2 linked regions of the Saccharomyces cerevisiae S288C genome follow. The protein of the gene in region 1 interacts with the protein of each later gene in a biochemical or structural test. Each region holds a gene or a part of one and is shown in the gene's direction. Other genes may lie near its edges.

What was found. Proteins that work in one complex are often made in the same cells at the same time.
Region 2: of the proteins of RPA43 (region 1) and RIO1, one has a biochemical effect on the other in vitro, tested with the Saccharomyces cerevisiae proteins (one study listed by BioGRID).

What each region holds. Positions count from the first base shown.
Region 1 is NC_001147.6:957,471-961,761, reverse strand, and holds RPA43 (DNA-directed RNA polymerase I subunit RPA43), read left to right. Parts: upstream 1-1,579; coding exon 1,580-2,560; downstream 2,561-4,291. Other genes in the region: DNA-directed RNA polymerase I core subunit RPA190, read right to left, coding at 1-775; putative E2 ubiquitin-protein ligase UBC11, read left to right, coding at 2,930-3,400; YOR338W (uncharacterized protein), read right to left, coding at 3,773-4,291. UniProt on the Saccharomyces cerevisiae protein: DNA-dependent RNA polymerases catalyze the transcription of DNA into RNA using the four ribonucleoside triphosphates as substrates. Component of RNA polymerase I (Pol I) which synthesizes ribosomal RNA precursors.
Region 2 is NC_001147.6:547,711-552,669, reverse strand, and holds RIO1 (protein kinase RIO1), read left to right. Parts: upstream 1-2,423; coding exon 2,424-3,878; downstream 3,879-4,959. Other genes in the region: PFY1 (profilin), read left to right, coding at 5-372; glycerol 2-dehydrogenase (NADP(+)) GCY1, read right to left, coding at 618-1,556; RTC5 (Rtc5p), read right to left, coding at 4,110-4,959. UniProt on the Saccharomyces cerevisiae protein: Required for the final endonucleolytic cleavage at site D converting 20S pre-rRNA into the mature 18S rRNA. Required for the final steps of cytoplasmic maturation of the 40S ribosomal subunit.

The sequences.
Region 1 (4,291 bases):
TTTCATTCAACGCAGTTTCGAAGATTTTTGTAAAACCATCCTTTCTAAATTTTGGCGAAAACATACCACAGTTATCACACTTACCTCTAGATAATAGTTTTTTGTGAAACTCATGGACCAATTTCTTTCGTTCATCATTTACAGTAGCTGTGAAAGAGCCTCTCTCAGTAGTTCTGCCGTCTGACAAAGCTTTAGCGATGGCCATGTCAACATATTCTGAACGCTTACTTTTCAGTTCATTTAAGAGAGTGGAGGAAATATCCTTTGATTGCTTGCTTCCTTCACCATCCATTTCATCCTCATTATCTTCAATAGCTTCGTCGTCAGTGTACATACTGCTATTAAGAGAGCCCAAAGTTATTTCATCTAGTTTGTAAGATTCGTCTATCAAACCGTATTGTAACAATCTCAATTTACATGCGTAACGATGAACCTCTACTGACTTTAAACGGAAATGATGACAGAATAAACATGATGCCCTCAAATAAATATATAGCTGGTTAAAGAACAATGGATTATAACAAGGGACAGGTAATTCAATGTGACCTTGGTGACCTGGACAGAATTTTTCATCCAAACCACAAGTAGAACACAGATTCCTTAAGAATGCACCTAAGGCTAAGTCATATAAACCGCCTGATACTGGATGACCTAAGTTATCTAAAACCGTAGGATTGGTAATTTGCTTTGCTGATAGATTTCTAATCTCTTTAGCTGTTAGGATCCCGAAATCAACGGATGTGATTTCAGAACCAACCGGTTTAGAAATATCCATTTTTCTTTCTGGCTTTGATTATAATCGAAGTACGGCAAAAAAAAAGCAGAAAAAGGATAAAGTTCACTGTATAGTTAATGGATACCTAAGACCAGAATTATTAGCGCAGTACTTTTGTTTTTGATGAAGAGTTTGAGTAAACAGAATAAACCTTTTTAAGAGATGAGATGAGATTTGAAATAAAAAAAATTTTTTCTTTTTTTTTTTTTTTACCAAAATTTTTCACTATAAAATATTACCGAAGAAAACGGGTAATAATAAAAGAACCACCACTAAGAAAATAAACACGATAGTTATAAGGAAATGCAACGCCTTACTTCTATCCTCGATAATTTCTAAGTTCAAATCATTTTAGCTATAAGAGGAGACATAAGAAACTCGAAACAGTATAAGATGTAATTCTGAGACCCTCCGATAGCGGGCAAGGATACGATCTGATCATATGCCGTTCTTGTAAAGTTAAATTTAACTGCGAAGTTAAGTTACTTTTAATCAAGGCCCCGTAATAGATGTATTTCAGGTAGAAGAAACTTGGTGGAATCTTGCTTATTCCAGCTGCAAGTGTATCCTTTGTGTATTCTTGACAGAAAATATTACTGTCGCTTTGAAATGAAAAGATTCCGATGAGGGTGTATGGGTGGTTTGAAAAAAATTTTTCTGCAATAAAATACTAATGGCATCGCAAATATGACAATGTAGTGGAGGTTTACAATAAAATAGAGCCGAAGGGACTATCGTTATACACTCCCTCGTTTTTTTGCTTATATATAATAATATCAGAAAGATAAGAGACAAACGTGGATTATGTCACAAGTAAAAAGAGCCAATGAGAACCGCGAAACCGCAAGGTTCATCAAGAAACACAAAAAACAGGTTACAAACCCAATTGATGAGAAAAATGGAACTTCCAACTGTATAGTGCGTGTTCCCATTGCTCTCTATGTTTCTTTGGCACCAATGTATTTAGAAAATCCCTTGCAAGGTGTCATGAAGCAGCACTTGAACCCATTAGTAATGAAATATAACAACAAAGTTGGAGGTGTTGTGCTAGGTTATGAAGGGTTGAAAATTCTTGATGCTGATCCTTTAAGCAAAGAAGATACATCAGAAAAACTAATAAAAATCACACCCGATACCCCTTTTGGATTTACTTGGTGCCATGTAAACCTATACGTTTGGCAGCCACAAGTTGGAGATGTTTTGGAAGGTTACATTTTCATTCAATCCGCCTCACACATTGGTCTTTTGATTCATGATGCGTTTAATGCTAGTATCAAAAAGAATAATATCCCTGTGGATTGGACCTTTGTCCATAACGACGTGGAAGAAGATGCTGACGTGATAAACACAGATGAAAATAATGGAAACAATAATAACGAAGATAACAAGGATAGCAATGGTGGAAGCAATAGTTTGGGCAAATTTTCCTTTGGAAACAGATCTTTGGGCCACTGGGTAGATTCTAATGGTGAACCCATTGACGGTAAATTGAGGTTCACAGTGAGAAATGTTCATACTACAGGAAGAGTTGTTTCTGTGGACGGTACATTAATAAGTGACGCCGACGAAGAAGGCAATGGCTATAACAGCTCTCGTTCCCAAGCTGAAAGTTTACCTATAGTTTCAAACAAAAAAATTGTATTTGATGACGAAGTTTCAATCGAAAACAAAGAGAGCCACAAGGAACTAGACTTACCTGAAGTAAAAGAAGATAATGGTTCAGAGATCGTATACGAGGAAAACACCAGTGAAAGCAATGATGGTGAATCGAGTGATAGTGATTAGGACGGGAAAAATGAGAAAAAATCAAAACAAATAAAGATATACGTTATTGATATAGGATAATATAAATAATTGTACATTATTACAGTGCTGATAATCAATAGTCCTGCATACGTAGCTAAACCGTGGCAAATTCGACAATATATCAACAGTAATGAAGCTTAATTTGAAATATTTTTCCTTTATAACGTTAATGGACTCTTTTTAATGATGTCATTATTAGAAAGAGATTTTCAAGGAAAAAGCGTTGACTAATAGCGACACAAAACATGCTTCTGACACTGGATAAATGAGATATCAGAAAAAATTTTTCATATTTTACATCTTATAGGTGCTACAAAACCTGTATGATTCGAGGCTTGCTAGTATAGAATGGCAGTAGAAGAGGGTGGTTGCGTGACGAAACGTTTACAAAATGAGCTGCTACAGCTACTTAGTTCTACAACAGAAAGTATTAGTGCGTTTCCCGTAGACGATAATGATTTAACATACTGGGTAGGGTATATTACAGGCCCTAAAGACACACCGTATAGTGGACTTAAATTCAAGGTTTCATTGAAGTTTCCTCAAAACTATCCTTTCCATCCGCCAATGATTAAATTTTTGAGTCCAATGTGGCATCCAAACGTGGATAAGAGTGGCAACATTTGTTTGGACATTCTGAAAGAGAAATGGTCTGCAGTGTATAATGTAGAAACAATTCTATTGTCATTGCAGTCATTACTTGGCGAACCAAATAACAGATCTCCGCTGAACGCTGTGGCAGCAGAACTTTGGGATGCAGATATGGAGGAATACAGAAAAAAGGTCCTGGCCTGTTATGAAGAAATCGACGATTACTGAGTTAACCTAAGTTAGACGAAAAAATGATGTGACAGAAAAGCCACAGACTCTCAAACTCCAATGCTATTTTTCTACGGCGTTCATAACCCGTAATAATTCAATAACAAAATTGATAACGTAACAACCGAAGAAATATAATTAATATAAAAAGAAAACCTCATATATGAACGAAATCTATATGTAAAAAACCATAAATAAAAATATATCAAATGTGTTCTAAGAATAAAAAACCGTAACCGTAACCCTTAACCATAACCATTTAAACGCCTCAATTCTGTATTACTCAATGAGACTGTCATATTCCGTACTTATCAAATTTGCTCGTTTAAACGATGAAACGATACGCTATCCCAAAGGCGTACCGCCTCTTTCTTACAAATACTTTTCAAAATGTTTATCTTGTAACCAACCTACCTTTTCAAATGCTGCAAATAGCCTTGATGCTTTATTAACGTCTATTCTACAAGCCTTTTGAGCATCCGTTCTCCTGAACGGCAACCCCTTTTTGAATCTATGAACTTTTTCCAAGAAAAATCTTCTTTTAGAGTCCAAATAAAGATCACATGGAAGTCTCAGAATCTGTGCGAGAACTAGTTCTGCAGGATGCAGACGCTGTTTGAGAGGATCATGATTCAAGTCCATTGGAGAGCCTTTCCATTCCACTTTTAAAACTTTATTATTACTATTCGGCAAAGTGTGAAGAGGAGGTGAGTAATCCGGCAACTTTTCCCACGACATGCTTGGAATATACTTGGGGACATTATTCACTACGCCCTGTGAGGCCAATGGCGAAGAAATAGTATGAAGAGACCTTTTAACTTGACGTATCGGAGTCACTGATCTAACTGGAACTTCTTGAGCACTTTCTTCATCATAGTTTTCTGACCTGTT
Region 2 (4,959 bases), 410 kb from region 1:
ACAGCATACACTGATAACTTAATAGGAACCGGTAAAGTCGACAAAGCTGTCATCTACTCGAGAGCAGGTGACGCTGTTTGGGCTACTTCTGGTGGCCTATCTTTGCAACCAAACGAAATTGGTGAAATTGTTCAAGGCTTCGACAATCCAGCTGGTTTGCAAAGCAATGGTTTGCATATTCAAGGCCAAAAGTTCATGTTGTTGAGAGCTGACGATAGAAGTATCTACGGTAGACATGATGCTGAGGGTGTTGTTTGTGTAAGAACTAAGCAAACCGTTATTATTGCTCATTATCCACCAACCGTACAAGCCGGTGAGGCCACCAAGATTGTCGAGCAATTGGCTGACTACTTGATTGGTGTTCAATACTAATTTATGCAGGTAAAGTTTTCTTGCCTTATACACCACCTATTCTGGCATCTGCGGGATTTCGCTTCCTATTTTACAAATATTTTATTGATTGACGCTAATTATCACTGTAAAAGGCGCACTTTTTATATGTAGTCACATCCGGTATTTAACATATTTACGAAACAGTCTTAAGAATATCGACATTTGATATACTTATGTTTAATTTATCTACATATTACAATCATACGAGAAACACGCAAAAACAATTACTTGAATACTTCGAAAGGAGACCAATTTGGATGTACAACCCTTTTTTCGCCCTTTTCCTTCGATATGTTATTGATAGCTTCAAAGTCCTCAGTAGACAAAGTAAATATTTTCCTGTTCGTTTTGATTCGATCGGGATTCACAGATTTTGGCAAGACAACATAACCTCTTTGGACGTGCCAGCTAATAACAACGTGTCCGGGTTGAACGTTATTTTTCTTCGCAATTTCAAGGATAACCGGTTCCTTCAATAGTGGAGCATCGGTACTACCTAACGGAGAATAAGCTTCAACCACAATGCCTTTACTTTTACAAAAATTAATCAATTCGTCTTGAGGTAGTAATGGATGTATTTCGACTTGGTTAGCAGCTGGCGTAAGCTTATTACCTTGAGATGCTAATAGATCTTTCAGGTTATTTATAGAAAAGTTGGAGACTCCAACGGCCTTAGTTTTACCAGTCTTTGGTAGTTCCTGCATTAATTCCCAGGTTTTGATGAAATTCCAATTGGTGATATCCACTGCACGAGAACCATCCTTCTTTGTTGGCACACTCAAGATGTCTTCATTTTTGATGTAGGCTGGATCTAATCTGGCAGGCCAATGCATCAAATATAAGTCTACGTAGTCCAATCCTAACCTCTTTAGTGATTGATCCAGCGCTACTTCAGGTTCGTGGTGTTGTGTACACCATAACTTTGTAGTAACAAAGATTTCTTCCCGAGGAACACCTGAATCCTTGATGGCTTGACCGACTTGGTCTTCATTACGGTAAATAGCAGCAGTATCAATGTGTCGGTAGCCATCTTTCAAAGCGGTTAAAACAGCCTTATAAGCATCGTTCTCTTTCGACTGCCACGTACCTAAACCTATTTGAGGGATTTGGGCTCCAGTATTTAGAGAAAGGATTTTCGTAGAATCATGTAAAGTAGCAGGCATTTTTCTATCTTAATTTAGTAATGAGAGCTGTCCAAATTTTAGCTTGCTAAGATGCACCTATTAAGCTCTCATCCTGAATCAAGTCATTAGAATGTCTTGATTCTCCCGGTTTTATACGCCCAGTAAAGCAATTCTTTACTGCCGTAGTCTTTTCCTGAAAGCTCGGTTTCTACTCTAGGGAATTAAGGAGAGCAGCGGTGTGCGATTCGTCACACGGGTGAATGCCTGATAGGCATATTATTAAGCCGTGTTTGCAATCTGCGTGCTAGATTGATTCTACCCCTTTCTGAGAAGGCGAAATGACCTTGCTATGACAATGAGGGAGAAAAGACCGCCCTTCCTTGTTCTTCCCCGGAATAGTCTGCCCCGATTGTTCGCCGGTGTTATAACTTACAATTCTTATACACTCCATAGGAAGTTTGTTGACAAGAGTTAAGTTTCAAATATCTAAAGCCAGGAAGTATGATCACCCAAGCATATCCATTGCAATATGTAAGACATTCAAGCGGATTTCTGGGACTTTAGAAAGTGAAATTTAAAAAAAAAAAAATTTAACAGAGGTCATACTTCCAAAAAAAAAAAAATGTAGAACTGGGCGAAATATCATCAGCTCATTCACTCTAATGCGGCCCTTCTGTAACCTCGAGCAAAGAGCCCAAATAACTTCATCTCTTCTCTCTTACGAACTGAAATATTCTCATGTTACCTATTGAGTAGTTGCGGGGACATTGGCGCGCGCAGAAAGAGTGAAAAATTTTATAGTGGAATATAGAAATTGAGATGAGATGAGATACTAAGACTAAAAATAATAGTAAAAAGAAGTTAAAACAGATTTAGAGATTCAAACTCCGTTATTTTTAGAAGGTCATGTCCTTGGAAGATAAATTTGATTCATTGTCTGTGTCGCAAGGTGCCTCGGACCATATTAATAATCAGCTCTTAGAGAAGTATAGTCACAAAATAAAAACTGATGAATTATCATTCAGCAGAGCGAAAACATCAAAGGATAAAGCAAATAGGGCGACTGTGGAAAATGTCTTAGATCCGAGAACTATGAGATTTTTGAAGTCTATGGTCACCAGAGGTGTGATTGCAGATTTGAACGGTTGCTTAAGTACTGGGAAAGAAGCTAATGTTTACCACGCTTTTGCAGGTACCGGTAAGGCACCCGTAATAGATGAGGAAACAGGCCAGTATGAAGTTTTAGAGACAGACGGATCCCGTGCAGAATATGCCATTAAGATTTATAAGACCTCTATCCTAGTCTTCAAAGATCGTGAAAGATATGTTGATGGTGAATTTAGATTTAGAAATTCCAGATCTCAACATAATCCAAGGAAAATGATTAAAATTTGGGCTGAAAAGGAATTTAGGAACCTGAAAAGAATTTATCAAAGTGGCGTCATTCCAGCTCCTAAGCCAATAGAAGTTAAGAACAACGTCTTAGTTATGGAATTTTTAAGCCGAGGTAATGGATTTGCCTCACCTAAATTAAAAGATTATCCGTACAAGAATCGTGATGAAATTTTCCATTATTATCACACAATGGTGGCATATATGAGATTGCTGTACCAAGTTTGTCGCCTGGTTCATGCCGATTTGTCAGAGTATAACACCATAGTTCATGATGATAAACTATATATGATCGATGTTTCCCAAAGTGTGGAACCTGAACATCCAATGAGTTTAGATTTTTTAAGGATGGATATCAAAAACGTTAACCTTTATTTCGAGAAGATGGGTATAAGTATTTTCCCTGAAAGGGTTATTTTTCAATTTGTCATATCAGAAACTTTGGAGAAATTTAAAGGTGATTATAACAATATTAGCGCCTTGGTTGCATACATTGCTAGTAATCTACCAATAAAATCTACAGAACAAGATGAGGCAGAAGATGAAATATTCAGATCGCTGCATTTAGTTAGATCATTGGGTGGATTAGAGGAAAGAGATTTTGATAGGTATACTGATGGTAAGTTTGACTTACTGAAAAGCTTGATTGCCCATGATAATGAACGCAATTTTGCTGCTTCTGAGCAATTTGAATTTGATAACGCTGACCACGAATGTAGTTCTGGCACAGAGGAATTCTCAGATGATGAAGAAGACGGCTCAAGCGGATCTGAAGAAGATGACGAGGAGGAGGGCGAGTACTATGACGATGATGAACCAAAAGTTTTAAAGGGGAAGAAACATGAGGACAAGGATTTAAAAAAATTGCGCAAGCAGGAAGCTAAAGATGCAAAAAGAGAAAAAAGGAAAACAAAAGTCAAGAAGCACATCAAGAAAAAATTGGTGAAAAAAACGAAATCAAAGAAATAATGCGGCCCTGTGAAAATACATTTGGGAATCGTTGTTTGGAGTCGAAGAACAGAAAGTAGGTCAGCAATTTAACGAAGAAAGTTCAAGACTAAAAGTGTAATATCAGTATCAAAAGTTTGGTACTTTTCATACAAGTGCAATAAATATTAAAATAAACAATAGCCTTATTTAGTGGTCTTGATTTTTAGTGAAATCAATCCCAATAACTAAAAACAGCAAAAAAGGCAGGCATCACATTGAACCGCCACCTTGATGTTGGCCAACTAAACCTGCCATTTCCAGTAAGGCACGGTCTTCTCCCAAGCTTCTCAGGTTAATTTGCTGTCTTCTTTTAGATTCTGCTTCTTCCCATTCCAACTGTTTGATTTGCTCTTCTAGTTCTTTCTCACCACCACAGCCCCATACCTCAACATCTTGAATCAAAAAATGCAATTCATAAGGGGAATTTTCCTCCTTTCTTTCCATCGACAATAAACCAGGGTCTAATGAACCTCCGTAACCAGTATTTCTAAACACAGCAAATTCTAATGTGCTGTCAAAAGTAAGCGACACGTTCCCTGGTATGTATCTCTTGGATGCTGGTTTTATTAATGGTTGTTTATCCCCGATTCCAATTCCGCCACCAATTGTATTGAAATAGATCGTGCCTTTTTGGTTGACTTTATAAATATCCTGCCTGGGTGATATTTCTATTATTCTCGTATTCAGATCGCCAAAATAATCTTTATTTGTTACTTTCCACGGATCGTCTATGTACACAGCGAAAGTAGTTTTCCTTTTATTCAAATGCGATGCATCCATCATTTGATCTGACTCTTTCAATTTAGGAAATTCTTCAAGAAAATGGCGGTATCTTGGATTCTTCTCAGCTGCGTATTCTTCAGAATTTGTTATCCTCATTCCGCTAACAACTAAAATCGAAGGCGCCATCCATTTGAACACCTTTGCTTGCAAAGACCTCATTGAGAAGCCACTTTTCCTGCCGATGTATAAACTTTGTAGCTTATGAATAAATAATTCCTTTGGTAGTCCCGTCGATAACTGTGCCAACAGTGCTGGAGTCATAACTTTAGAATCCTGA